Linked DNA regions of Arabidopsis thaliana. The protein of the gene in region 2 interacts with the protein of the main gene of each other region in a biochemical or structural test. Each region holds a gene or a part of one and is shown on either strand. Other genes may lie near its edges. The genes, in order: ATH1, STM, MPB2C and RPL.

Region 1 (7,951 bases), on a different chromosome or scaffold from region 2:
CCTTTCGTTGAATCTGAGGCTGATTTATCACAGGAAACAGCTGGCTGAAACAAAATCAAAGAATGTCTGCATCAGCAAAAGAAGAGAAAAGTCATATAAGCATTTCTTAACCGCAGTCACCTTCTTTGCAGGAGGCTTGGGGAGATCAACTTGAGCACATCTTTGAGGAGGATGTGATAACAACGTTGACATACGCCTGAAAACAGACTGTGAAAGCCCATGACTGCCCTCAAAGATGTAACCTTCATACTCCGAAACACGCTCTATAGCATCAACAAGAGAGTCATACACATCGTGAGTACAATTATCAGGACCCGACTTGTCGTGCAGGTACATAACATCCAATGTGAAGAGCTTCTGGTTTATAGGCCAATCATGGGTTGGTCTCACGGATGACCTGCAGTACATGAGAATCTGAAGAGCAAAATATAAACGAAATCTGTAAAACAGATTCTTTTATCACGCTGTGGCTAGAAGAGATAGTATTTGCACAAAACAAAACTTACCACTCTCAAAATTCGATTTTGTGCTCTGGAAGTTTTGGCTTCCTGAGCCGCTTCCTGGAACAGAAATGTGAGATCCGCTGGACCAGAGGATCTAGTAGCTGACATTTCTCTTAAAGAAGCAGCAGCAGATTTAGCATCGTTGGAGAATTCCTTTTTAAGCTGAAACATAAAAGACCTCAACTTTAACAGTCACACTAGTGAAGCTTATGCAATACATCAAATATGACTCTCTCAACACATTTATAAGCTACCATAGTCCAATGAACATCACGAATTCAAAATTTGACATCTAAGGAGCATGCATACTCAAAAGCAAAAGCAACCTAACATAAAGAGAGCTGGGGGAGAAAGTAAGTCTTACCCAAGCGGCTGACTGGGAGAGGGTAGCGAAAGCAAAGCGATGATCGGAATTTCTGGAGAGCTTGTCGTGGATAAAGCGAGTAATGGCTAGCTTGAGGCACTCGAGCCTGTTCAAAGGCTTACCGTTAGTTCCAGTGGTCTTCATCTCCACCGTCGATTCCGCATCAACATCGACGCATATGAGTATGTCTTCGCTGGGTTCCACCGAGTCTCGAGTGGCTACAGCTCCGGTCATGGTGGCTCTGTCTTCCTCCATTCGCCGTAAAAGGCTCCGTCTTTACACTTTCTTCCTCAGTTTTAGCAAAGTGTCTTCCTTTTCCTACTTTCTATTTCTAATTGTGTCCGTACCAGATGAAAACGCTGCGTTTTTATTAGTTGACCGAAGATTCTCAAGTCAAACCAAAATACGACGTCGCTTGCTAGGAGATTTTCGTCATTATTCATTTCAGTTTTTGGAATAATAAAACTCACTTGTAAGAGAAAAAAAGTTAAATGCAAACGGTGAAATAAAACTTTAGGTTTGTATTTTGTAGTTTGTTTGAATAAATATGAAAATAAATCTTCAGTGGTTACATACTTTTTATATATTTTCATGAACTTAATTTTATTTTTACGTAAAAATGGTGATCATGAAGTTTAATGAGGATGATGATAATTATGATATAAGAATACAGGATAATAAAATGAAATAGTCAAAGATAAAGGAGTTGTATATACAATTATAACATACGTAATGATAGTCGTACATGGTTTAGGTTTTGGGCAATCATAGAGTAGCAATTGCCTAATTATCACAAAGTTGGTAAACACAATTGTTGTCTTATTTATGCATTGCTTGGCTCATCATAACAGATTTTGGCATTCGAAGAGTTGGTCCGTTGGGTTGAATGTGACTGTTATTGAGCTTCCTCTTGTTCATTTCCGCATACATCTCTTCTATCATCGGCTTCCATAGCCTAACCCGCGCATTTATAAACCAGTTTGATACCTTTAATCACACACAACAAAGAGACACACTCTATATCATTTGCCCGCTTTAACTTACTTCAGTAACAAAACATATGTGCGACTACAATCCTAGGACTTGAGTAACATTATTGTGAATTCAAGAATACATAATCTAGTCTCATTTGTAGTTCAAGAGAAAAGCTTGATTTTTTCCTAGCCCTAATCTCATCTTAAAATAACCAATACCGGTTTTTCAGACATGACTAGTATGTCAAGATATATATTACTCATTTGAATACCATATTTGCTATCATTGTGAGCAAAGATGTTATCAATAAGTCATTGCATAAGAAAACAAAGATCTTATCAATGAGTCATTGCATAAGAAAACAAAGCTTGTTATCAATGAGTCATTGCATAAGAAAACAAACATGAGACATTACCTGACTTCTTGTCAAGCCACTTCGTATAGCTAGAAGATGTTTCTCCGAATCTTTCGGGTAACTGCATTAAATAAAACATAACTTTGCTTATAAAATCGAGTTAACAATGTCATCATCATAAAGTAGATAGTTAAGAAGAGTAAGGATTGTTACGGGTGAAGGAAGTTTTGGAACATCCAATTCCGTAGAACCGAAACAGATTTCTCAGGCAAACCTCGTTGAGGTCTCCAAATCTGATGGTTCTTTCGTTTCAGCTGCTGAAGAAGGCAATGCTGGTGGAACATAGAGGTTTCTTGAGTCTTGTCTTTGCCTCTCTCCAATACAGATCCCATAGAGATTATCTTCTTGCAGATTCTCTCTCTCAGGTTCTTGTATAAGAAGGAAACGGTTTGGAGGGCAAACCGGGTGTGTAACTGTGGATCTAACTCGGTTGCAGCATGGAACGCTGATATAACCGTATGAATCTCATCTACGCAATGACTATATCGATCATCCACCTGAAGAGAAATATCAACTCATAAAACTTCATCATATATATCAAACCATTTTTTTAACTTATGCAAAAAAAGTGAATGAATATATTACATACCATTTGAAGAAGATCCAAGAGATGGGTTTTCTTTGCTTCTAATGCTCTCCTTTGAAATGTAGATCCGAAACCCGCCTCCGAGTTATTAGAATCACCATCAAGAAACTCAGTTATATTCTCAAAACGTGAAGTAAAGGCTGAACTAGCAGCTCCTGACTCGGTTCCTCGAGATGAATAATCGAGCGAGTATGCGGCGAAATGAGATAGTATTTCTTGAACAGAGTGAAGGTATTTTGAGCCAAATATAAGTTGAGAGAAACCTTGAGTAACAACGTTATTAGAAATGTCTTTGCTGCTGCAAGAAGCTTGCTCTGAGGCTAATCTTGTAGCTGCACAAAGACTTATCTCCGAGCATTCATCAGAAACATCTGATGCAAGACTCAATGAAAGCTCATTGTTTCTTTTATTCGAAATTAGAAACGGGAAATCTTCTTCACCGAATGTAGACATCATTGGTTCACTTGGACCAACTACACCTGAAAATGCCTGAAACTCACTATTTGCTTCAAAACCCCACATGTTGTTTGAGGAATCATCATAGTGTCTTAAATGATCCAAAGGATGAAGTGGAGGAGGATGAGGAGGAGGAGCCATGAACTCAACATTGCGGTTATCTTGAACATCGATAGACCGTGGAGAAGATGATAAGTATTTGTTAGTCAGCATAGAATTGAAAATATCAAAGCCACCCATTTGTAGAGGATCTGATCTGATGGTATTCCATGGAAGCATTGTTGAGAATGAAGTTGAATCTTCTCTTGAAGGTATAAAATCCATGAGAAGAGGATTTTGGTTAGTCATGACATTATCCAGAGAACTAAAAGTGTTGTTGTTGTTGTTGTTGTCCATTGGGTTTCTATGAAACTGCATTACCAAAGAAGACAAGTATTTAAGACTTAGACAAAAGATTTCAGAAAATCTAAGAAACCAAATCTTTGGAGAATAGTACTAAATGTAAAATGCTGCAAGAGACAGAGAACATCGCTCACTATGTCATTAAATATTTCATTAAAATATATAAAGAACCGAAACATGAGTTAATGAAGCCGTAACTAGGCTCAATGATACACAGACCAATAATATCTCAAAGCTATCTGTGATAAACAGTGAACTAATAAGTAAAAAAGAAAGCTTTAGATTACTACAAATGTCCATAGAACATTAAAAATGTTGAAACTTGCCTTTATCCTTCTTCTTCTGATAGAACCTTTGGGAAGATTTCAGACAACACAACGTTCCAAAGAGAATTTTTACATCAAAATTTCCAAAATGTGTGTTAAAAACTGAAGAAGAAGATAATGCTTATTTATCTTCTTTCTCCGTGAAAGAACAGTGTACTTTCATTCCGCAGCTTCTCTATGTTCCTAAAGAGAACCAAAAAGCAGAAATCAACAATAAAGTTAGTATTCATAAATTAAAGAGAACAAAATAATGCAACAAAACTGAAAAAGAGAAAAGTGGGTCTGATTAATCTCTTTTGCATGAACGCAAACACTTACAAAAAAAATTACTTACTTTTTCTTACAATAATTTCATGAAGAAATTCATAATCTTCATCATCTGCCTCACTAAAAGATTCAGAGCACTAGATCAACAAATAGCAACATTTTATAACTAAATAAACAAACCAAAAGTTGTATTATCGAGGGGAAAAATACAACTTTAATATTCAAGAAAGAAGAAGTTGAAAAGAAGGAGGGCCAAATCACGTACGGAGCTGCCTCTGTTTATGACACGAATCCATTTTCATATCTTTAAGATCTTCCGACCAAAAAAAAAGATAAATCAGAATCAAGAAAATCTTATATATAATCACTTTCTTAAAATGTCATTTATTTAAAATGTTGTTCATAGAGAAAGAGATGAATCTAGTAAAATTATCTAAAGAAAATATATGGTTGAAACAGAATCGAAATCCAAAAAAGAAATCCAAAGACATGAAGAAGACCGATGTGTTACTGTTTACTACAGAGAAGTGCACTCATTTCTGTTGCAGGCTTTAAATTAGGGAAGAGACCCTACATTTTACTATTTACATGTCTCTATATATATATATATGTATGTGTCTCTATTTATAAAATTTTATAAAGTTATAAGAAAATGGTGTTGTCTTCTTGTGCTGGTTTCAATTATCACAAATCAGAAAGAGGGAAAAAAGTAAAGAAGGGTGAGATCTTTTTTAGCCATTTAAGGAGAATTGATGAGATGTGTGATCCATTTGGGTTCTTGCTTTTTCTTCTTTCTTTTCTCACCACTCGTGTCTTTGTATTGTGCCATCAAATCTTATATCCATTTACGTATTTTTTTCATATAAGTTTTTTACGTAAGCTTTACAAAAATATCAATCAATTTGCTTGGCCTTTTCTTTGATTGTTCCTTTCTTATCATTTTTATTTATTTATTTATTTATTTTAAGTTCAATGTGTCGTTATGTGTTACGTCTTTATTATCATGGCTAATGATGATGGAATTGAACTCTATTACTCGTAGACTATATAGATTGCAACATCTGAAATTATGCTCTTCTTTATTACAACCAAAAGAAGAAGAAAATCTAATGGTACTTGATTTGATCTGTATTAGCGTGACTTGATCTGTATTTTAAATAATGTTAATGGTACTTGCCTAAACAATGACTTTCTAAGCTGGTATGAGACAAAGAAAAGGGTCAAGGACAAGTATCTTGCATGGCCACTCCAAGCAAAATTGGATATTGATTTGGTGAAACAGTTATTGTTGTTCGTATAGGACAAAATTATTTTCAATAGAAATCGATAATTATTGATATCATATCCTTATTATTGTTTGCTTACAAGTCTATATTATTTAATAGTTTGAAATTTTGATTTAGTAAAGCAGAATAGTATCAATAACACTAGGAACTATAGTACCGACTATTAACTGAAGCTGGAATGCATCTTTAATCATGCCTACGATCTTAATCAATAACACTTATTAATGTTAGACTATTAGACCCGTGCTCATAACTTTTGGGTCCTAGGCGAATTATAAAAGTTACTTTTTTTTGTTGTCTGATAGTCCAAACAAGAACTTGTAATGCTTTTTCTAAAATGAAACAAAATGTACGTTGGCTATGGAGCCTATCGACTCCAGCACCAGCAGATGCTTAATCTACTCCATAGACTAGAGCGCTTTTTATCTGAAGTCGTATAATTTCCCAAGTCATTTGGCTTAATTATTGTGTATCAACTTATACTATATGCTACTGATGTCTTGCTTAGAATATTATACAAGTTCATTGACTTAGAATTATATATAGGCAGACTAAGCAAAATGGGAATAAATGATCACAGAGGGCATTAACTAGTTCACTGAGGTTCAACAATCTACTTGATCTTAACTCCTTTCGAATTAATATAGAAGTCGAGCACTTGAGGATCAGAAAACACACATTCATTCTCAGTGTCTGAAGCACTTGAGGGTCAGAAAACACACATTCATTCTCAGAGCGGCGTATAATTTTAAGATGTCAATCGCTCTTACGTAAAGATCGATAGCCATCCACCTAAACATATGCAATACTCCTTCTGTGAACAAGAAATTTATTGATAAAACCAAGTGTGTTAGCAAGTTAATCTTTACATAGAAATCAAGGACTCACTCTTAATGACCAGCAAAGTGTGTTAGCAAGTTGAGTGACCAGCAAAATTCTAACCCTAAAAAAGTAATGTAGAAAGCAAGCCCTCATTATCACCTTTACCGTGACATTTGGATTTCCATCTCTATCACCACCCATCCAGGAACCAAACTTTAGTGGATTCATTGATGCAATGCAGATAGAAGAAGAATAGAAGATGATGCAATGCAAGAAAGACATCCCTTGAGAGAGCCCAAACCATTCACCTTATTCCAATACATTAAAAGGTGTGGTTTTTCCCAAAAAAAAATTAAAGTAAATTTTTACTTTTAGAAAATTGGAAAGAAAATTTACAAATCAGATAAATGAGAATTTACAGCTCAATATTTCCATATCTTCCAAATATTTTCCATAGATTTTATTTTATTGGAAAAAGTATCTTCTTAAAATACCTTGAGAGGTTGTTTAGACTTTCTAAAATTTATTGGAAATTAATCTTAACCATATGCTTTAACTTTTGTTATTTACCTCGACGGGCCGATATTATATATATAGCAAAATTTGATTTTCGTGGAACTTATAGGCTTCTCTGCTGATCCAGAAGGAGATGAAAGTGATGGATAAGAATTTAGGGTTAGAGGAGGTTCAGAAACTTGAAGGTCACACTGATCGTGTTTGGAACGTCGCCTGGAATCCCGCCGCTGACGGTGTTATTGCTTCCTGCAGTGCCGATAAGACCGTACGAATCTGGGAGCAGAGTTCTCTTACTCGTTCCTGGACCTGCAAGGTCTCTCTTCTCTCTTTCTTTCGAATTTGATGTTGTTAGATAATGTGTCACTAATGAACATGAAGCCTCGTGATTGGTCAGGCTGTTTTGGAAGGCGCGCACACAAGAAGTGTGAAGTCGTTAGCTTGGTCACCGTCTGGGAAGTTTCGATGGCAATACTTGCGTTTGGGAAAATTTTGCTACTGACTCCGAGTCTGTCTCTGTTTTACGGGTACTAAATGTACTATCTCAAAGGCCTATCCTTTATGTGTTTGTTGACAACTGAAATTTATTGTAGGGCTTTGATGTCCCTCTGGGTTTCTTGACTTTTTAAAATCTCGTGGAATTTTCTTAGGGACATGAAAGCGAAGTCAAAAGTGTATCATGGAATGCATCTGGTTCGTTGCTTGCAACTTGTGGTAGAGACAAGTCTGTCTGGATTTGGGAAATACAACCAGAGGAGGACGATGAATTTGATACTATTGCAGTGTTAACTGGTCATTCAGAAGATGTTAAGATGGTCTTGTGGCATCCCACCATGGATGTTTTGTTCTCTTGCAGTTATGATAACACTATCAAGGTTAAGAGAACAATGCTTCAAATGTGCTTTCATGAATTGGTGTCATATCTATGCATAAGCATTTAACTGCAATGCTTGTGTTTCTATTAACAGATTTGGTGCTCTGAGGATGAAGATGGTGATTATAATTGTGTACAAACCTTAAGTGAACTTAACAAGTA
Region 2 (7,774 bases):
ACGTACCAATCAGGGCCTGCTTCAAGCCCAAGCTTATCGATATGGAGACGGAAGAAAGAAATGAGCAAAGAAGGTTTAATCGCAGCCAAAGAGCTCAAGCGTCTCCAAACCCAATCAGTCCGACTTGATCGATTCATTGGTTCTCATGTCTCTCGTCTCCTTAAATCCGATCTCGTTTCCGTTCTTGCTGAATTTCAGAGACAAAACCAAGTGTTCCTCTGTATGAAGGTATAATCGTTGAATTTGGTTAAGTTTCGAACTGAGTTTTTGATAGTTCTGGGCGTTTAGGTTAATTGGTCTCCTCCGGTTCGTAAATTTGGGTGTTTCGATTTGGAAATTGGTGCTGAAATGGAACCGAAAACCAAATGTGGTTTGGTTCGTTATTGATAATTTGACATTTCTCATCATTTTGGTTAAGATTTGGTACATTTCGGTGATTCTGGTTAAAGTAAGGATAAAATTTGGGTTTACCAGTCCTGAACCGGTTTTCATGCTTCCTCTTGCCGCTTGGCTTCACCTAATAAACCGAATCCGAACCGAATTAGCCTAACTGGTTTGGTTCAGCTATTTCGGTTTGATTTTATAAGCCTAGTTCTAAGTTTGGTTATGGAGTTTGTTGATGGTGTTACTGTTAATGTTTATGCTTCGGTTAAATTTTGGTATATTTCTGTGAATTCGGTTATATTTAGGATAAAATTTTGGTAATTTCGGTTTGGCAATGCCGAACCAAACCAGTTACTGAATTTCATACTTCCTCTTGCCGCTTGATACCTAATAAACTGAATCAGAATCGAATTAGCCTAACTGGTTTGGTTAAACTATTTCGGTTTGGTTTATATGGAGCTTGTTGATGTTTATGTATTGTCACTTGTCGTTGATGTTTAATTTGGTTTAGTGTTTGTCTTCTTATTATGTTTCAGCTCTATGAAGTAGTGAGGAGAGAAATATGGTACAGACCGGACATGTTTTTTTACAGAGACATGCTAATGATGCTTGCAAGAAACAAGAAAGTTGATGAAACCAAGAAAGTATGGGAAGATTTAAAGAAAGAAGAGGTTTTGTTTGATCAACATACATTTGGAGACCTTGTTCGAGGGTTCTTGGATAATGAACTTCCTTTAGAAGCAATGAGATTGTATGGAGAGATGAGAGAGTCTCCTGACCGGCCTTTATCTCTGCCTTTTCGAGTTATTTTGAAAGGACTCGTTCCTTATCCTGAGTTGAGAGAGAAAGTTAAAGATGATTTCTTGGAGCTTTTCCCTGGAATGATTGTATACGATCCTCCTGAGGATATATGTGAAGATAGTGATGAAGAAGCAAGAACAGATAGCGATCTTGAATAGAGAGGTATGTCTTGAATCAATGCTTGGTTTGGACTGTTTAGTTAGTGCTCAAAATGTCAGTGATGATATTATCCTCGAGGCTGACCCGATGTATCTTCGATCCATAGTTTCTCTTGTTCTGCACATCCACTAACTTCAGGAACCATGTCCCAGTTTCAGGTTAGATCAAGTGGGAAAACAAATGGAAGATTGTGGCTATGCAGAAACTGGAACTATTCGTCTTTGGTAGGAACAAATTATGGCTATTGAAAACTGAAGATGATGAGGAGCATATGAAGAAGAATTTGAGAAGCTTATAAGCGTATATATGTGTAAAGATCACTCTCAGCAATGCTAAATGCTGCTGTATTGAATCGGTTCAAGATAAGTCATATGTTTGTGAAGATACATACAGCAGAAAGCGTTTTAAGGGACAAAACTATTAGAAGTGGATTAAGTTTTGGTCGATCTTGTCTTTTTGGGATAGTGATGGGTCTGTTTGGGCCAGACTAGGTCTTTTGGAGTAATAGCATTCTCTCTTTTCTTTTCGTCTTTTCCATCCCAAAAGTACAAAATTTCGACGCAAATACTTAAAAATTAGCAAGGAAGATATACATACAACCAAAAAATGGTCCAAATTGTCAAAAAGGTTGTCAAATAAAAAGAATAGATCAAAAAAGCTTTACTATCATTATAATAGGAATAGGAATTTCGCATAACAATAGAACAACACAAAAGGATACACACCACAACATCAAACGCTTGTTCATCAATCGGAACATGTTTCATATGTTCCAAGTATACCGAGAACCATAGATTATACATATTATAAGCTGTTTAACGATTATAAATATAATGAAATAAACGTTTTAAAGGATCGATCAAAGCATGGTGGAGGAGATGTGATCCATTGGGAAAGGATTGCCCAAGACATTATCCATGAAGTAATGGTGAGGATGTGTTGCGTCCATTACTACAAACTGCATGTCCTCCGACGGCTTCCAATGCCGTTTCCTCTGGTTTATGAACCAATTGTTTATCTGTTTCTGGTCCAGCCCCGTTGATTCCGCAAGGGCGAGCTTTTGTTGCTCCTGCAATTTCATATCACATGCGAGAAAAAATCAATCATCAAGTGTTCTCTCCGATATAAGGTCAGTCCATGATCACAGCTACATCACGATTTGCTAGATTGTAAGGAGAACTTAGAATCCATCTACTCATACGAACATGGGTAATGACACTATACAAGTGTAATAAAGACATGAGCTACTATTGCATTAGGGTATGGCCTCATGCACCCTACTTTCCAAAGTTATGACTTGAAATATGTGCAACAAAGTTTAGTCTAAGTTATGGTACACAGCCATAAGATGAAATTGATCGTAGTCTTGACTAAGATTGACATATTATTCGGACCCTAAAAAAGGTATGGAAGCAAGAATCAAGTTTGTCATCGGCTAATAGACCAAAACAGTACACATAGACTAAATAAGTTCACTTCATTCAGCTTTTAGGATTTCAAATTATGCAAATGCATATTGTGCAATGCCAACATGAGCTAACATAAACTAATGTCCCTAACGATATAGTATGAATGCAAAAATCACTAAAAACATTGAAACAAGCTAATAGACAACTAAATTGAATTTGCTATCATATAAATGCTTTTTTAAAAACATGAAATGATTATTTAATTAGAGTATAAGGGAAGAGAGTTACCGAAGGGTAAGGCCATTTGTAGTGACGGCTCCACCAATCAAGCAGTTGTTGACGAGCTTCTTTAGGGAGCTTTCCTTTCTTCCTCTTCTTCATGAACTCTTGCTTGAGGCTCCCTAAGTAACCACTGTACTTGCGCAAGAGCTGTCCTTTAAGCTCTCTATCCTCAGCTTGTGGATCTACAAATTCATTGTTCATATCGACTTCTTCCTCGGATGACCCATTATTGTTCCTATCAATTGCTGTCTCTCCATAACCTTATATTGATTAAACATGTGAAAGCAAGACAAATTTGTCAACAAGAACATGTGTCTAGGGAAATGAAAAAGAATAGGCTAGTGATCCAAATAATTCAAAGTAACATGTTAAGTAGATGTGAGTTTGTGTGTCTATATAAACTTAACTACATTCTTGAAAAGAAGAGTGATATGACATTGTGTAGATATATGTATATGTGATTATACGTACAAAAACATGTGTATGTCTAAATTGAGCAATAGATCTAAGGACGAGCAGACTCTAGATCCAGATATTCTTTTTGATGCATTTGAATTAAATAGATCCAAAACAAACGGAGAAGAAAGAGACAAGAACAGTGATTGTTGTTGTACCAAAGCAAATGAATTCAATTCCAAACAAAACAAAAAAACAGTAAACAAACTGTTTTAATTCAATGAAAACAACTACATACACTAACTTATGTATAGATAGATTATACACGTAAACCTAGTAAGCTATATATAACAATCTGACACTAACCCTAGTAACAACCATCAAAGGGGTATTTACCCAAGAAAAATCAGAAAAAGGAAAATCTTTCTTAAAACCCACAAAGAAAAAAAACAACTTTCCTCATCTTACGTTTAATTTGACGCCATAATTAACAAGAATATGAATTAAAAAGAAAGAAAAAAAAACAGAGAACTAGAGAGAGAGGAGAGAGTAACCGGAGAAAGAGGAAGGTGAGGATAGAGAGAGGGATTTGAATTGACACTCGACACGTTGAAGGAAGACCATAGCTTCCTTGAAAGGTTTGGAGAGCTCTTGCTCATACTTAACGAGCATTTCACAGTAAGCTTCCATGAATTGATCAAGCCCTGGATCTTCACCTAGACATCCTGTTGGTCCCATAGATGCGGCAGCGGCTGCGGCAGACGAGCATGCCTCCTCTAGCCTCGCCACAACCTCCGGTGGTGCTCCAACCTTAAGAAATTGTGTAATTAGTAAATGATAGACATAAAAACGTTAATTGAACTAAGATAAGGATCCTCACGTTTATTGTGGATATATAATATAGTAAAGAAAAAAATGAAATAATTATATATGTCCTAATCTTCAAGCCTACATACAATATTTTGGATAATCTCTTGCAAGTAGGGTTTTTACAAATTGTTTCTTGAAACTTTCTCAATATAGGAAAAATTGTATCCTTTGATTTGTATATACTTAGCTGGGTTAAGTAACTAGTAAACAAAAGTAGATATCAAAATCAAACTCAGACATCAAGTAAAGGGTTATGTAAAAAGGAAATAAAAGGTAAAGTTTGGTAATTAGGGTTTCTAGAATCTTTCTCTTCTTTTTTGTGCAAGAAAATCAAATAAGAATCATTAGAGTTACGAAGAAACTTTCAAAGTAATTTTTTCAAGTTTCTTTCTCTCATCACCTTCTGACAATTGACATAAGCGGCCAAGAGGCGGTGGTAGTGAGGATGAGCCATGATCTTGGCCTTGACAGAGGCTGAAGAAGAGGAAGAGGAGCAAGGGTTGATTCCTCCTGCAACGATTTCGTTATGATGGATCTCCATTAGAGAATAGGCAGGAGCACAAGAGGAAGGAGAAGAAGAAGAAGCAACTTTGTTCTTAGTTCCTTGGGGAGGAGCTAGTGATTGAAGAAAAAGGGAACTACTTTGTTGGTGGTGTGACTGATATGCATAACCATCATGTTCTTGTTGTTGATGTTGATGATCATGACCATGATGTTGATGTGATGTCATGATGGGCGGCATCATCATCATCATAGGACACATCGGACCATCACTATTATCCCCGGCAAAAGCCATTGGACAAGAAGTGCTGTTGGAACCACTCTCCATCTTCTCTTTCTCTCACTAGTATTATTATTCACTTTGGCTTTGCTATATAGCTATGAGAAATAAAAAATGAAAATAACATAAAGAAAAAAAAAGAGGAGCCCCCATTGTAAATACAGCTAGCATTTATCATCAATATCATGAAACACATTAAAGTACTATAAATTTATTGGGAAACCCTAAAAGAGTAAGTAACTGTGTGTGTGTATCTATGGTTTAATTTAATTATTTGAAAATGCAAAAGTGGTCTCCCGGGATTTATGCTTCAACAATCAGCTTCCTTTTCCACATTGAAAATTCTAAATAGTGATAGTTATGGGGGAGAGGGAAGCAGCAGAAGAGAGACCAGGAAGATAAATCTAAGGAAATTATTATAAATAGGAAATAACTTTTTAGGAGAAACTTATTTTAAAAAAGTGTAAAAAGCAGACATGGACAGAGGTTGTGTGATCTGTGGGTTCTTAACTCTTTTGTGTTCTTCTGCTGAAATATGATTTCTCATTTATGCCTTTTCGGAAATTAATGTTGTAATTTCTCTTCTTCTTTTTTGAGGTAATAAACCGGATCTCAATTTATTTTTGACAATTTCTTGAAATGGAGAAAACCGGAATGTGCCTCGGAAAGTCCAGTGAAAGATATATTGGAATTTGTTATTTCTTTACCATGGGTCGGGAGTATCAAATCGAATGTTGTCATTTGGTTTTGGTTTTCATACCATGAATTCCCAAAAGTCTAAGTTTCCTGATGGGATATACGTATGCTGATGTTGGTTTAAAAAGTACATTTGTGTATATGTATATATGTATATTATATGGTATGTGAAGATATTATTAGGACTGTTGTACTCAAAAACTTTCTTAGATTCTCTCAATAATTAACCGATAGATCTCCATATAGTATAATTTACGCATTTGTTTCAGTAACATATATTGGATTCGCTTTTGTCAATAGGAAAAGATAGCAGTCTTAGTAATTTTATAATAAGTGATCTAACATTTGATTGCAATCAAAGTTTTAATACTATTGTAAATGTTCTTATGGGAAAAAAATGTTGTTAAGAAGAAGAAAAATGTCATAAATATAATCATAGAGTAAAACATGTAACTGTTTATTTGTTATATAAACGAAAATATTAAACACACATTTTACCTTAAAAAAAAAGTATCTTGTATTCTGTATTGTTTTTAAAAAGTGACAACTGATGGCTTGTTATATTAGACAACAATGAACCATTTGTATTTGCCACCATTATCATGTTCTCGACCTTTTTGGTCGATTGATTGTAATATTAGATGGTAGACCTCTTGCCACTTGAAAAAATAACCAATCACATTCAGACCACTAACCAAATCTATCGAGGCATTTTAATTAGAATAATATACGAGGCTATTAACAATTGTTAGCACTTCTTCGAACGTAGAATTGACTCAACATAGGACACATGTTACTATCAAGAGAATAAGCATGGGACACCTGTACCTGTTTATCCCTGAAAATAGTATACAGACTTGAGAAAAATTCATTTACGATTGACAAAGTAATTCATCAATTGTCAATTTGGAGGATTGTACGAAGGAAAATGATATTATGCATGTTACTTTAATACACAACGAAAGAAATGTATAATTTTACTTTAAATTTAATTGTCTAGTTCAATACTGTGGGAAAAAAAGAAAAACAATACAATTAAAATTATCAAAATTGATAAGTACATTACATCAGTGCCGTTTATTCGATCAACATTTCACTAGCCGTATGTATTGCTAATTTTGTTATCACTATTCGAAATATTATTTAGAAGTTGGATATACTATATATTCCCATACTCGTATGTCTATGTTTATAAGTAAACTATATAAAAATAAATATGTTAAAAAAAAGTAAAGACCAGTATAAAGCTAATTTTTCTTGCTTTTAGGTTAAGGACAGTGATTCGTTGAAATCAAAAGTCTTAGAAAAATATTGAAGAGAGAAATCTTCAAGGCAAAGTTTTACTTTCCCCATGAAAGAAGAAAAAAAACTCTCTCCTCAGCCACTGCCTTCACTGCCATTTCTGGCAAAGAAAAGATAACTGAGAAACTAATAGATAGAGAGAGATTACAAGGAACCCATCAAATCATATTTATATATTACCAAACTGGATTTTATTTCATTTGCTTCAAATTATGATTTATATATACCCTAAAATATATTTTTTTAAAAAATCTTCATTTAGTTATCCAAAATATGTTGGATCTGGACTAAAAAGAAGAAAAGAAGTGATTTTTCTCTTCTTTTTTTTTTTATTTTTTTTTTCTTTGTCTCCTACGCTCATAGAATTTTAAAATCGAAGTAATAAGTTCTCTTTTTTATGATGACAAAAAAAAAAGTTCTCTTTTTATCAATAATAAGATTTTAACCACAACAAATTAGGATAAACAAAATTAGGATAACGTAAAAAAAAAAAAGGATAACATAGCAAAATATTAGATATAAATATTTTTGCATATGTTTTCCTTATGAACTTTAAATAAATTTTAAATACAATAATTAACTTATAGGTAAATATTAATCAATGTTTTGTCAATTATCTCTAGTTGTTATTTTTAATTGCGCTGCGTTTTCGTTTAAGAAGTTATTATACTGTTTTCGACAATATGATTAATGA
Region 3 (6,817 bases), on a different chromosome or scaffold from region 2:
AACCTTTACTACCTACAAACAACCATTGGCGGTTACATATAAAAACTTCTTGTCACAGAATAAGTAGGTATACTTAAAAGATATAGGGGAAAAAAAATCACCTTGGGGCATATAACAGAGAGATTCTTAACGTCTTGTATACGAACACGAACTCCAGACATAGCTAACCGGGAAAGAGATTCCTTCAAGCGGGTTAAATATAACTTTTCTCCATGTGATTGAAGAACATATGAAAAAATATTCAAAAACGCGAATGTCTCCATAGACAATTTCACCCAATCAGGACAAGAACACAAAGAGCTACTTGAATCCCATGACATCAAGCATTTTGTAGAACCTGGAGATGTCAAGCAATTCCTGGACTTTAAAACCTCAGCAAGCTTCTCTGTGTTCTGACCCTTGAATGCATCTTTACACTCAGACTCCAAATCATCATTAAAGAATCCATATGGACACGCTTCTTCATCCCGTTTTCGTTTCTCACCAACACAATGATCCTCAGCTCTTTTAGCGTTTTCATCTTTCATAGTTGAGGTTCTTGAACTCAAGGAGGAAGGTTTTGATAAATCAGGTTTTGGAGTCTGTCGAAGTTCCTTCTTCTTAAACGGAAATAAACCCAAGATATCACCGTCATTAATAGTAATCGCAGCCACTCTAGTGTCCAATTTCAATTTCTCACCCTACAAAAAGAGAGAAATTCTAATTTTATCCTTGAAGAGCTGATTTAGAAAACGAAACTTGAAAGCAATCGCGAACGAGTGTAGTAGAATAATAAGCATTACCTTGATATACAGATGGAAATTGGAAGAAGAGGAAGCGGGAGGGAAACAGGATTTTAGGGCTTTCTTTAGGTCACGAATTGTCCCGTCAGAGGAAACCTGAACGGTCGTCGATTCGCCGTTAATGCTTCGGACAGAGATCGGAACACTGTCTCCTCCGCCGCTGCGTCTCTCGTTCTCCATTACCGGATTTTACTTTTTCCTTCCATTAACAAAGAAAGAACTTTTTAATGTATATATAGTTTTAAAACTTTGTTGGGCTTTGAACTCGACTTCGTATCGATGGGCTAATGGCGCGGAATTTTTGACACAGCCGAATTCGGCACGTGTGAAATATTATTATTATTTTGTATTTTTTCCCACCCGTGTGAACTATTATTAGATTAAGATTATCACTAAAAAGACCTTACCTTATTAAAAGGAATTCAATGTGAGCCCAAACTATATTTTGTTAACTAATTAAGCCCAAATTCATCATTCCACGATTTCAAGTTGAACAAGTATGGCTGCTTTAGATTCCAAAGTTGATAGATTTCCTTGTTAAGAGTATATCTAAAGTAAACTATTGAACAGATGCATTATACAATCTGATTTTATGTTCCCAATAATGTAGAAGATCATATAGATACATACATGCTCAAATGAAGAAACAAAAACTCAGAGTTGCGTTCATTGGTTTAGGGGAAAACCATAACTTTATGTTTCTCACATAAGCTTTTCTTCTCCAATTTCTTCATGGTACAAATCTACATACTCCTAAAACAACCCAAGGAGAGAAATATCCTATAAAGAAGTAAGTACCTGAAGATGATTAATATGTAAAGGCTAGTGATTGCAGGTAAGCTCGAGCTTGAGCAGCCATGACCAGAGATTCTTCATCTTCTCGTTCCTTTGCGGTATTCACTGCTGCTACATAAGCTAATCTTGCTTCTTCCATTTTCCTCAGGTCAGTTTCATCTACATCGTCCTGTTTTTAACGCATTTTGCAACAAGTTTTTAGATATTAACCAAAAAAAAAAAAAAGGAAAAAGGAGAGATGAGGATTGTGGTTTCTTTGGCTTACTAAATATGGAAGATGATCAAATTCATATGGGACTGCATCATAATCCCTATCGGGTTTCTTGGAATCAGTTTTTGCCAAAGTTTCGAACACCCGTGTGAATGTAGAGATGTCTCCTTCAACAGCATCTAGCTGTTCTTGAAGCTTGATTGCTCTTGTTCCTGTTGTCTTTGCTTCCCATTGAGTCTTCTCAAGGGCTGCTTGCTTGTCAGCAAGTTTGATCTAGTGAAGACAGTGAAAGGAAGCAATTAAAATGTGAGGTACGTGTAGAAGCAAACTGAATATTCTCCATTTTGTTTAAAACCAGATTCAAAGTAAACACAAAGGAGAAATCTGGAGACACATAAGAGGAAAAAGGTTTACCTTTGTGTCCGATAATTGTAACTGCATAGACTTGATCAACATATCCTTCTCAGCAACCAATCGATTTGTTGCTTCAAGCTTTTCTTGTATCTCGTTTACCTGATTCTTTGACATCTCCATTGACTTTAAAACCTCTTCTTTCTCCGATAATTTTGTCTGCAAGTCATTCACTTGCTCTCTTAGTCTACTCATTTCTTCCTTTTCTGCACCAGCCAAAGCCTTTGCGTTTTCATCATCTTCCCTAGAATTGTTCATAACATCGTCATTTCCCTCTTGGTCTCTCTTCTTTCTTCCTGGGACTGTTTGAGAAGCATTTCTTCCCTTTGGATCAAATACATGCAAATACAAGTGAATAAAGTTATACAGCCGAGCATTAGAGAAACAGATTCATTTGAGAAATGATGCAAACATTTGGCGAGGGAAATCAAATCCCCCGAACCACCCACTGAAGTTTTTAAACCAAGTTATGAAGACACCAGTACTCCAGAAACAGATTCCATCATTACAACAACAACATTTACTGCATATAATAATTGAAAAACATCTATAATCCCTTCTAAATATACAATTTTTGATTAAGCCATAACGCCAAGCTGATATCAGCTCATACCCCAAAAGGAAAAGATCACAAACTCAAGCCATTATCTAAGCAAGTTAGCAAACTACCAGTGTTAACCAAGTCGAAACTTATTGATACCTATGCAACCAAGCTACAGTGTATGAATAATGTTAAAATTGCCATAAAGAGATGAAGAAGACAAGAAGATTGACATCTTACCCTTCGGGACAAGGATTCTTTTGAAGGCATCTTAGTGTAGATCATGGAACCACGCCGCTTAAACGAACTCCTTTCTTTATGTTCCTATATATCGTTTCAGTGAGAGAAGAGAGTCAATAAATTTCGAGCTAAATATGAAATCTACAGTCTTTATCTTTCAGAAATTTCAAATTTTAATGTCCAAATCAATCTGTCAAAAAAGTTTCAAAATTGCTGCAAATTTCTCAAAATTAAGAAACCAATTCCGTCGAATCTATCCCAGAATCTGCAATCCCCTCGAAACCCAAACATTATTGAGCTCTGATAACTCGACAAAAACGGCCAAGAGAGTTAGAAAGGATTTACCATGTAATGCTCGATAAGGGGAACCATCTCGACGAGATCTTTTAAGAGACGACGATCTAGATTCTCATTGCCGGAGTTCGTACCGGCGGCAGATTGGTGAGGAGAGAGACGAAGATCGTCATCGCCGGCGAGCCAGGAGCTATCGTCCCCAAACCCAGAATCGCTTTGCAAATCCATGAAATGTTGCTGCTGCTCATACATCTTCTTCGTCCTCCGTATAATAGATCTGCTTCAGTGATTAGTCTTCAACACCAGAGAGTCTGAGCAGAGAGAGAGATAGACGAAGAGAAAGACTTGATTTTTATTTTCTTTAAAAAAATTCGTTTCATTCTTCGTTCCGAGTCTGAGCTTTGGATCTCAATCTCCAACGTTCATCTGAAACTATCCAACTTATAATTACCATTTTACCCTCATGTTTTTCACTATTCTCTTGACTTGCCCTTGCTTTTTGAATTTCTTTCCTTCTTCTATGATCCCTTAAATTTAACATTATGCTTTGTTTAAAATTTGGAAATTGAGATTTTCCATTTTACAATTTTTCAATTATATGCTTTTCCAATACGGGTTATTCTGATCGAAAACGTTATTGGGTCGTGTCTTTCAATCTTGTCCGGTCTTGAGCCGTTTTGGTTCCCGATTCGAGAAAACCGGTTCACGAACTTCATGAATCTATATATCTATATATACATTTTTGGAGGGGATTTTTGAAGATAATGTTGAAGATTTGAGCCATAATTCAACAATTAATTCAAATGGGTGAATTTTACCCGGTTTAACTCTGTTCGGATCCTGGATAACATGTTTAATTCTGTTCTGATCTGGATAACATTAATTTTTGGAAAAGTTATCTAAAAACTAATAATTAAAAACGAAAATTAATGATTTAATTACCAAATTTAATATAAATAATATCTCTAAACTAACCATATTTCTTATTTACCTTAACTAATTTCCTAAAATATTTCTACCTAATTTAAACATAAATATATAATTCTTCTTTCAATTTTATTTGATCTTATACTTTATTTATTTTGAATTTATATAAAATATATATAGTTAATAAAATATTATATTTTTTTCTGAATATGATGTAATTCAAATTTTTTAAAACGGACATATATTATTCAACCTATGAAGAAATAATATGTGTACAATGTCCCACATCGCTTAGAAAAATTGGACAATGGTTCAGACCCATATTATAAAAGGACCAAAATAATTCTGATTACGAATGAGCAGGAACCTTGATTTATCAGGCGTCCAAAATTAAAATAGTTATCCGATTTTACTCGCATTTTTTATTTTAAAGAATTGAAACTTTAAAATGTTTCAAGAAATTATAAATATTATAACTTTATCAAAAGTTAAATATTATAATTTTAAAAACTTTTTATAAAGTATATCTTTAAAAAATGCTTTAAATATTTATAATTTTAAAACTTATAAAGTTTTAAAAATTATAAATTGAATTTTACAAGAAATTTAAACATTATAAATATATAAAAAATATATTAATACGAGACGATATATTACAGGAAAAATCTTAAATATAACAATCAAAATTCAATGATGAATTTTGGGTCGATATTGTATTTTTTTTAAGTTTCAAATTTTATAATATTGAAATTTATAAGAAAATGACAAAATTATGTTTAATTTCACGGGACTGGGTTATATGGTAGGACGGGTTTGGGTGGATAATAATTACGATTTTAGAATGTCCCATATCGCTTAAAAAAATTGGACAATGGTCAAGAGCCATACTATAAAAAGGACCAAAATGATTTCGATTACGAATGAGCATGAAACTTGATTTATGAGGTGTCCAAAATTAAAATGGTTTGTTTACTAGGGTTATTTATTTTAAAAAATTGAAACTTTAAAAAGTTTAAAAAATTATAAATTAAATATTACAAGAAATTTAAACAATATAAAAAATATTAATACGGGACGATATACTGCGAGAGAAATCTTAGATATAACACTCAAAATTCAATGATGAAGTTTGGGTCAATATTAATCTTTTTTGAAGTTTCTAATTTTATAAATATTTGAAATTTATAATAAAATGACAAATTTGTGTTTAATTTCACGGGACGAGGTTATATGGTGTGACGGGTTTGAGTGGATAATAACATGGGATAGTATGCTATGGAAAAAAACATATAATAACAATCATAATATAATTATATAATCTTAAACACTAAACAAAATTAACAATATTAAAAAAAAAAAACTTAAAACTTTAATTTTTTTAAAACACATTTTGATTCTTTTATAAGAAATTTAAACATTATAAATATTTAAACTTTATACTACGGGTGAAATTTTATAATTGACTGTTTGGGTTGATAAGAATTTACAATAGAACTAGGAGTTAAATCCTAGAATGACAATCAAAATATAATTATACAATTAAATACTACCACGAGTGAAATCCTATAATTGACGAGTTTGAATCGATATTAATATGGGATGGTGTACTACGGGTGATATTTTAGAATTGATTGGTTTGGGTTGATAATAATTTACGATAGAATTAGGAGTGAAATCTGATAATGACAATTAAAATATAATTATACAATTAAATACTACCACGGGTGAAATCCTAGAATTGACGGGTTTGATTCGATATTAATATGGGATGGTGTACTACGGGTGATATTTTAGAATTGACTGGTTTGGGTTGATAATAATTTGCGATAGAATTAGGAGTGAAATCCTACGATGACAATTAAAATATAATTATACAATTAAATACTACCACGGGTGAAATCCTAGAATTGACGGGTTTGATTCGATATTAATATGGGATGGTGTACTACGGGTGAAATCTGAGAAACAACAATCAATATACAATTATACAATATTAAACATTTAACAAAATAAACAAATATAATTTAAAACTTTAAAATTTGAGTTATAAAATTTCGTCTCGCGGTGAATTATACATTTAAATCAAACAATAACATAAATTTATTAAATCATCCTAAAAATTATTCAATTATTTTTTATTTAATAAAAATATAGGTCCGCGGTATACTGCAGATTAATATCTAGTATAATAAACAACATTCCAAACTAAAAAAATACTACAATCACGACCAAAGTTTGCTCTAATTCCAGTCAAAGTTTCAAACCCTAACTGTAAAAGCTCTAGTTCGAGAAAGATCATAATTGATAAAGACAACGACGGCGACGAAACTCCACGGTAAAAGATGCTACCACCGCGTCTCTGAAGAAGAAACTCCTGAGTTTTGGAGGCGACGACGAGGAGGGAGAAGACGAAGCTTCCCGTGTCAAATCCTCTTCGTGTCCGAGGAAATACAGGCGGTTTGTTGTTTATGGATATAAATTATGGTTAAAAGAACGTAATTGATGTTTGTTGTTTTATCCCATTATATATGGGATCTCGTTTACTTCAATAGTTTGGAAAATCAAGTATTGAAGTTGAATATATAGAAGATATGATTTTCATCATTTTAAATAAAA
Region 4 (8,128 bases), on a different chromosome or scaffold from region 2:
GCTAAGTGTTTTCTTGAGTAAGGAAGAGGTAAACTGTATCCCGAGGATTAAAAACTATACATTCGCATATGTATATGCTTAATTGGTTTTAAACCTCAGGATGCAGATTACCCGTTCATCATCAAGTACCTTCATCTTCTTCTTCGTGTTGTTGTTGTTTTATGTTAATGGTGAGAATATATATAGAGCTGGTGAAGCTTATAAAAATAGTAATGGTGCAAAAGAATTATACTTATTCCGAAGGTTTAATGCTTCTGGAACAAATACTCACACAGAAAGACAATATCTTTAGTTGTCCATGGTTTCTTATATGTTCTCATATTTATCTCTAGACTCTAGTTCAGCATATAGATAGACCAATATAAAAATATATGATATAACATGTACGGTTGACGTGGCTAGTGTCTAAGGTTGCCACTATATGTATTCATGAATAATTCAAGAACAAATCGAATAGTATCTCTATTGTTTTTAGAAATTTAACTAAAATTTTTACATGAAACGTGTGGAGAGTGTTTTTCCGCATCCACATAAAGGAGACGGATTGTGAGAGATCAAATCATGAGAAATTGATTCTTTGTAGTTTGTTCTTTAGGAGCCAATGATGGCACCTTCTTAAATTTATTTTTTACTTTGTACCTTTTTAATATACAAATAGTTTTTTGAAAAAATTATTTGACTGCTTTTATATTCTTCTCTCGGCTCATTACATGAACCTCTTCTCAATTATTGAATTTCATATAATTCAAAACATATTTGCTAATACAGTTTATGTTTACATCTTATTCTATATAGACATAATCCAAGAATATAAACAAAAATGGTGTAAACAAACAAAAAGGCTGAGAAATGGTTAGGATCGGAGAATAAATTCTACAAAGAAAAAGATTTACTTTTTTCCCATGAGAGGGAAAGGTTATGTATATATATATATATATATATATATATATATCTTTCTTGTTTTCCAAAAGCAAATGGAAAGTTATTTGAAGCAACAAAAGCACAATTTTATTTTCAATACTTTTGCTCTCATGTGATCTTCAAAAGCCAACGTATTAGTACACACTGAACATTAAACCGAACTCATTTGTTTTGTGTGTTTGAAATCGGCTCAAACTTCTTTTATGAGTAGAAGAATTCAACAATGTTGAGCGGATCGGAGTCAAAACTGCATCCGACTCAAAAAGATAACTCAAATAGTCTGAAATATTTCAAGGTTTAGGGTTTGAAAACATGTTGTTTAGTCAATGTTTACTATCAAGTAAAACAAGATAGTTCAAAATATAATATCAACGATCAATGATAAACATCTTAATCGCGTTCTTCAACGATAATTGTGACATACATAAAAAAAAAAAAAGCACCATGTTTTGAATCATGCCAAAATATTAAAACAATGATAGATGCCTTTTATATTTCACCAAGACATAGACAACTCTAAAGTCTAACCCATGTTTTTAACATTGGTTATTGAATCCAATTTCATTTCTTAAAAAGATAACATTTGTGAAAGTAAGCAAACAACAAAAAAAGAAGAAGAAACATTCTAATATACACATCATATGCATTTCAATTCCCCCATATCTTCTTATACATACCCAAACGTCAAACATATTTTTTCCTTTCCACACAAATAATCTCAACCTACAAAATCATGTAGAAACTGATGATTACTACCACCAATAAAATCTCTCCCAAACTGACGATTTTGCCCTTCATACCCACCACCACCATCGCCACTACCACCATCAAGCCCAAACCTCTGAGCAGTTGTCATCGGAAAAGGCTCCGGTAACCCAATCTGATGATGAAGCCCTAACGTCAAAGACACTCCTCCGTTTGTGCTGCTATTCATCACCGGCACATTCGACGACCCAATTCCATACGAGAAACCAACCGCACTACCGCCGCCGCTCCCACTGTTTACATAGCTGTTGTTGTTGTTTGTGCCATGAACGTCGTCGTTTCGTGCCCGTCTAGGCGGAGATGAGTTGTTAGGTCTTTGCTGTGCCGAGGACGAAGATGGGTTGTTGTTGCTGTTGTCAGGGAAGACGGTGGTGCTAGTACGTTCGTCTCTCCAAGAGGAAGAAGAAGATCTCTGAGATTGTCGAGTCTCCAGCATGTGAATCTCTTCCACCATCGGCTTCCAAACCCTAACTCTTGCGTTTATGAACCAATTCGATACCTAAAATAACATTTTACCATAATAAATTAATAACCCTCAAGCGATAGAAAATCCCTAAATTATTCATTATCACCAACGGATAAATTTTCAAAAACAAAAGTGTAACACTTATTCAAACCTAATAAACCAAATTATAACATAGTTACTATACTAATGATATATGTGAAAAGATTTAAAACATATAATTATTGTCCGACAACAGAAACTCATTTCATAAAAGCATATATTTATCTATGTGACTATGTGCATGCTTAATTAGCAAGAAATTTGTTAAATTGTGAACAAGAAAAGATGGAAAGAGAAAAAAGAAGAAGACTGAAGATATCAGAAGTGAAACCTGATTTCTGGAGAGACCTGTCTGCTTAGCCAGCATGAGTTTGTCTGTATCTGTTGGATAACTGCAACAAAAGACACAGACAACAACAATTTAATATATCATTGTATATACTAACATACACATATATATAGACACATAATTACGCTTGCAACACGACATCTCCAAGTTTGGGAAACAAACAAGCAGTCGACATGTCCCATCTAAAACATACTTCCAAGTAAAAATACACTTCGATACACACATATTTATTCACACTGACACACACATATAAAGCTATTGTTCACAAGCATATATATACAATTTGGTTCATGATCAATTAAACGTTTGCATTTAGTTTAATCAATTGTTGGAACCAAGTTCAAACTCGAATCCAACAACTTTCAAAAGCATTTATATGGCGAGAAGGGTTACTTACGGATGCAAGAAATGATCGAAGAGCCAAGCCCTTAGAACAGTAACAGCACGTTCGGGTAGGCCACGGTGCGGTCTCCAAACAGGAGCATGATGATCAGGAAATCCATGTCTTTGACCAGCAGAACATAAGCCTCTAGAACTATCACTTCCTCCAAATCTTAAAGAATCAGTCTTATTCTCAGAGTTCATCGGATGACCACATTGTTGTTGTTGTTGGATCTTGTTGTTGTGGCTGAATTGAAGCTGGTCCGTTATAGCATTCTTCAAACACTTGAAATGCTTAGACAATGCTTTCAAGGCTAAGTTAGCGTACGGAGCAGCGTGCCCGAGACCTGCAACGCATTCGAATGATCCCATCACAGCTTGTAGCTGCTCATAGTATTGCTTATACCTCTTGTAAACCTTCAAAACGTCACATGGAAATGTTTTTAGATTCCCCCACTTACATAATAAAATGGGTGATTATAAATTTATACATTATTTCCTCACTCAAAAAGTATGTTATATACCTCGGAATAAACTAATTAAAATCTTTAAGTCCCTAGCTTTAAGATCATATAATGCATATATTCCTTTCATAAAGAAGACGTTCTCTTTTTATCACTTAATGTTTATACCCCTAAGATTTGAAGAATCTAATTCACAAATTCAGATCAAGAGCTAAGGAAGCTCTATATAAAGTTACTTCCTCAAGATAATATTATCCTTACTTTAGTATAACCTTAAAATTCTATTAAAAATCAGCATGAAGATGGCAAGCTTGTAATTTATATAATGTATTAAAATGGACGCTATAACATCATCTATTCATGCAAAACGTAGGGAACATTAATTTAATTAACATATGGTATTATAATGAATTAAATAAAATATCATATAATTTTAAAATGGCTTTGAAGGAGTTTCATTTTCCAAGGAAGATCTTTTTAAGAGACATATCATTTAACACATTTTGTCTCCAATTCCAAAGGACACCGACCAAAAACTGTGAACATTTAACACAATAATTCACATACTTGTAAGAAAGTATAGACAATAATTAAAGAAAATTTACAGATTTCAATAATTTAAAGAGATTAGAATTGATCATGTTATTGTATACCTCGTCGAGCATGGAGATGAGTTTTGATTTTTTCTTTCCATTATCTCCTCCGCCGCCATCAGAAACACCGCAGAGATTCTCAACCGTCGGATCAAAAAGCAGAGAAGAATCATCGTCGTCGATGACTTTGTCGGTGTAAATCCCACGACCCACATTACAAAACTCATCAAGAAGCATCTGTGCTGGTTTCAAGAACCTTGATCCTTTAAGAATCGACGCGTAGCCCGTGAAAGGTCCGAGAGGACCAGAGCTTCTAGACGCGATGGTGACGGCGGCGGCGTTGGCTTCACCGGCAGATCTACAGAATCCGGAGTTAACAACACCGGGAACGACTAGATCGTAAGCGAGTCTAGGGTGAGAGGACAAAGATAGAGATAGAGGCTCGGGTTTGAAGACAAGAACGTCTCCGGAAGAAAGTCCGGCGTTAAAGGAATGATCTCCGGCGACGGCGACTGCGGTGGATGAAGAAGAAGAAGGGCCACCGAGAAATCCCATGAAATTACTGTAGCTAGGGTTAGATATGTGGTTGTTGTTGTTGTTGGAGTGAAAGCCACCGGCTGCGAGGAAATCGGAATCAGCGAGAGGAAAGACGCCACCTCCGCCGCCGGAGGAAGGAGGAGGAGGAGGGTGAAAGTGGAAGTGGGAATCGAGAGATGGAATACGAAGTTTGTCTCGCCGGCTTTGTTGAAGAACATGATAAGGCTCGTATGCATCAGCCATGGGAAAGGATGATGTCGATGAGATGCAGAAGAAGAAGAAGAAGAAGAAGAGAGAGAGAGAGTAACAGTGTAAGAGATAATGGCGAAACGAGAGGTTAAGAGAGAGAGAAGCTCTTTTGGTGTCTTTTTGAAGCACGATCAATATGTATATCAAATTTTTCTTTATATGACATATTTTGAAAACCTAAAATATAAAATATCTAATGTTTATAAGACTTGGAGGAATTTAGTATGAGCATTACAAATTTGGTCAAGATTCATCTTTTTGGTGTTTGTTACTAAAGCCAATTCAATGCTCTCTCATAGGTCATCCGTAGAATGGTGAATTAAGTTTAATGATTGCGTGGGATTTTAGTATTTTATATGGTTCTGTGAAATCGTGATTTAGTATTTACGTTATTACACGATTTCGTAAAACTGAAATTGAAAAGACATATTCTTTCTTGAATCATTTTTTCGTCTTAGCGTCCTACAATTTTTTTGTCATTTTTCACTACCTGTTTTGTAGTTTTCTCTTATTTTTGTTACATTTCGTTTTAGTCACACAACTGTTAAAAGTTAATCGTATATATACTGAAGTCCTAAAAATAAATCTCATTATTTTTTTTTAAAACGGGTATTTCAAACGATGGATACATAGTAACTCGATATACTTTCCTCATCATGCAAACAAATTCGATCTTTATAATATATATATATATATAAAATACTGATGAAAATCTTTAACAAAAAAAAATACTGATGAAAAGTGAAAAGTCCCGGGTTTGGTGGGAGAGGCTTTGGGGAATCAAGAGAAGGCGACCGGCTGTAACCGGTGACACTGGAACTGGTTCTTGTACAAAGTGTTCTGTGTCTCAGTCTTTCACATACGTACTGACATTTCTACAACTTTTAAGTCTTCTTTTTGTCGTTTTTCTTCTTTTCTTTTGCTGGAATAAATACCTTTTTACGCTTAAAATATTTAGTCACTCTATTTTTATTCGACAATCATACATTCACACTAATCTCCATAGTTGTAGGCTTGTAGCTATAGTACTAAAAGTAGGGATATCAAAATGGATAACCCAACTCTACTCAACTTATAATCAAATGAGTTTAAGAATAAATGAGTTATGGGTTGACCCAACTCATTTTGTTAAATGTGTTGGGTCAACCTATAACTCATTTAATTTAATGGTTTGAGATGTTAACCCATTTAAGTAATAATTTAATTAATTATTATTATAAAACAATAATAAATAATTATCATTATTAATTCATTATCATCAAACTTAAGATATTTACGGATTTTATTTTTTACAGGTTTACGTTTTAGGTACGGAAAATCACGGATTTACGTTTTGACAGGAAAATTATAGTTTTTTACGTTTTTGGCCGGAAAATGATGGGTTTACGTTTTTGGCTGGAAAATTTCGGGTTTAAGCTTTTCGGCGAAAAAATCTCGGATTTACGTTTTTGGCGGGAAAATCACGGATTTACGTTTTTGACGGAAAAATCATGGGTTTACGTTTTGGGCGAAAAAATAACGGATTTACGTTTTTGGCGGGAAAATCTCGGGTTTACGTTTTTGGCGGGAAAATCACGGGTTTACGTTTTTGGCGGGAAAATCACGGGTTTACATTTTTGGCGGGAAAATCACGGGTTTACGTTTTTGGTGGGAAAATTACGGGTTTACGTTTTTGGCGGGAAAATTAAGGGTTTACGTTTTTGGCGGGAAAATCACGGGTTTACGTTTTTGGCGAGAAAATCACGGGTTTATGTTTTTTGGTGGAAAAATTACGAATTTATTTTTTCTCAATTTCATCGCTTGTATATTTAAGAAATTTGGAAAAATATTAATTTTATTAAATTTGTTTAGATGTGTTGGTTAAACTTAAATTGGCATTGGTTTAGAGATTTTAGTTGGTTTAATTCAATTTTATAAAATTTGATGGGTTAATTGGGTAAACCATTGAAACCATTAACCATTACAACCCAACTCATTTTACTCATCAAACCAATTGACTCATTAACCCATTTGACTCATCAACTCATTTGAGTCAAAATTTTCAACTCATTAGGGTTCATGGGTTGAGTTGAGTTGAGTTGACCCATGAATTTTGACCTATTTTGACATCCCTAACTCAAAGCATGGATGGTATGGTATGACCCGTAAGATTATACATTGAGAACAATCAAATTCTGCAGTTCATATTATATAATTAGAGAAATCACAAAGATTTAAAAAGATGCCTAGATTAATTATGTTAACAAATTTATAGTCCATAAATTAATCAAAATTGTTGTGAATTGTGATCAACCATATTTTATTATAACTAGAACAATCACAATGATTAAAAAAGATGCATAGATTAATTATTGTATATAACATATTTATAGTCCCTAAATTAATCAAAATTGATGTGAATTCTTATCAACCATATATTTTATGTGTTGGATTACATACGTCTGTGAGAGTTATTTGTAATAATTTAAAAACCTAATAAATAATTTGTCACAAAAACAAAAGCGAATACCTTTGCAAAAAATATGTTATAAGATATGCCAGAATATGATTAAACCGGGAAAGTAATTTCGACTGTACTGTAATAATCGTGTTTGAAATAATCATTAGAGGATATTTCCGTTTGCATGGGAAATAATGGGACGTAAATCATTTGAAAAAATGTGTTTCGAATACTAAGCAATACTTTGCGTTACAATATTTTATATTATATAAAAGTATTTCCTCTTTTGGCTAAGATGGACCACAAAAATTGAAAAAGAACCAAGGCACTCCAATAAAGTATTACAGTAAATTAAAGTGCACGTAATTATTAGTTCTTCTCTTCTCTTCTTTTTTTTTTCTTTTTTCTTTTTACATTGCATCACGGGTAACCACACGAAAACATTTTTAAGCAATCGCTCCTTTTTCACCTTCTTGGCTGAACATAAAATAGTATATAACCCAAAAAAAAATTACATATATTTTTCATTATCTGCCTCTATAGATGTAATGCGCGCTTAGATTTGCGACTCTAATTTTAGTAAATTCATAATAATTGTATCATTTCAATTTTCTAGGTTTTTTTTCTTAAATGTTAGTATATTGCACAAAAATAACTTCATGGGGGAGCCCTAGTTACAAAAATAATGGGGATGGTTTGGAATTTTATTAAAACAACATGGATGTGTAAGGCTTGAAACCCAAGTGGTGAGAATTGTCTGGCTGATCGAGATTTTGCAGTGATAAGGGTTGTAGAAAGATTTTGTCATGTGATGTTGCTTTTTCATCCAAAGGCGAGTGTATGTATATTGAGTTAGAGGTGAGGATTAAAATGATGTTGAAGATAAGAAACCATCCCTTATTTATTTGTTGTGGGATATTCATA

Evidence for each region.
Region 1: the proteins of STM (region 2) and ATH1 form a complex in vitro, tested with the Arabidopsis thaliana proteins (one study listed by BioGRID).
Region 3: the proteins of STM (region 2) and MPB2C form a complex in vitro, tested with the Arabidopsis thaliana proteins (one study listed by BioGRID).
Region 4: the proteins of STM (region 2) and RPL form a complex in vitro, tested with the Arabidopsis thaliana proteins (one study listed by BioGRID).

What each region holds. Positions count from the first base shown.
Region 1 is NC_003075.7:15,913,179-15,921,129, forward strand, and holds ATH1 (homeobox protein ATH1), read right to left. Parts: upstream 4,976-7,951; 5' UTR 4,362-4,975; exon of another isoform or gene 4,211-4,361; 5' UTR 4,028-4,210; intron 3,711-4,027; 5' UTR 3,696-3,710; coding exon 2,847-3,695; intron 2,755-2,846; coding exon 2,411-2,754; intron 2,319-2,410; coding exon 2,258-2,318; intron 1,855-2,257; coding exon 1,687-1,854; 3' UTR 1,492-1,686; downstream 1-1,491. Other genes in the region: AT4G32970 (BRISC/BRCA1-A complex protein), read right to left, coding at 1-44, 121-414, 507-665, 868-1,122; AT4G32990 (Transducin/WD40 repeat-like superfamily protein), read left to right, coding at 7,052-7,231, 7,356-7,442, 7,566-7,790, 7,884-7,948. UniProt on the Arabidopsis thaliana protein: Transcription factor which may be involved in the signal transduction pathway downstream of the COP1 gene. Controls floral competency as a specific activator of FLC expression. Is responsive of the nuclear import of SHOOT MERISTEMLESS (STM).
Region 2 is NC_003070.9:23,056,593-23,064,366, forward strand, and holds STM (KNOX/ELK homeobox transcription factor), read right to left. Parts: upstream 5,472-7,774; 5' UTR 5,131-5,471; coding exon 4,702-5,130; intron 4,242-4,701; coding exon 3,986-4,241; intron 3,296-3,985; coding exon 3,042-3,295; intron 2,414-3,041; coding exon 2,204-2,413; 3' UTR 1,990-2,203; downstream 1-1,989. Other genes in the region: AT1G62350 (Pentatricopeptide repeat (PPR) superfamily protein), read left to right, coding at 1-228, 921-1,343. UniProt on the Arabidopsis thaliana protein: Required for shoot apical meristem (SAM) formation during embryogenesis. Negatively regulates ASYMMETRIC LEAVES1 (AS1) and ASYMMETRIC LEAVES2 (AS2 or LBD6). Probably binds to the DNA sequence 5'-TGAC-3'. Binds to RNA.
Region 3 is NC_003076.8:2,599,153-2,605,969, forward strand, and holds MPB2C (movement protein binding protein 2C), read right to left. Parts: upstream 3,784-6,817; 5' UTR 3,527-3,783; coding exon 3,326-3,526; intron 3,065-3,325; coding exon 2,981-3,064; intron 2,524-2,980; coding exon 2,203-2,523; intron 2,062-2,202; coding exon 1,843-2,061; coding exon of another isoform or gene 1,783-1,842; exon of another isoform or gene 1,747-1,782; coding exon 1,591-1,746; 3' UTR 1,291-1,590; downstream 1-1,290. Other genes in the region: AT5G08110 (UBQ, helicase-c and DEAD-like helicase domain-containing protein), read right to left, coding at 1-12, 102-680, 783-962. UniProt on the Arabidopsis thaliana protein: Prevents homeodomain proteins (e.g. STM) association to plasmodesmata and, consequently, cell-to-cell transport. Binds to RNA. Alters STM RNA binding capacity. Regulates cytoskeleton (e.g. actin) organization that determinates cell shape.
Region 4 is NC_003076.8:392,384-400,511, reverse strand, and holds RPL (POX (plant homeobox) family protein), read right to left. Parts: upstream 4,946-8,128; 5' UTR 4,759-4,945; coding exon 4,039-4,758; intron 3,339-4,038; coding exon 2,938-3,338; intron 2,584-2,937; coding exon 2,523-2,583; intron 2,186-2,522; coding exon 1,640-2,185; 3' UTR 1,387-1,639; downstream 1-1,386.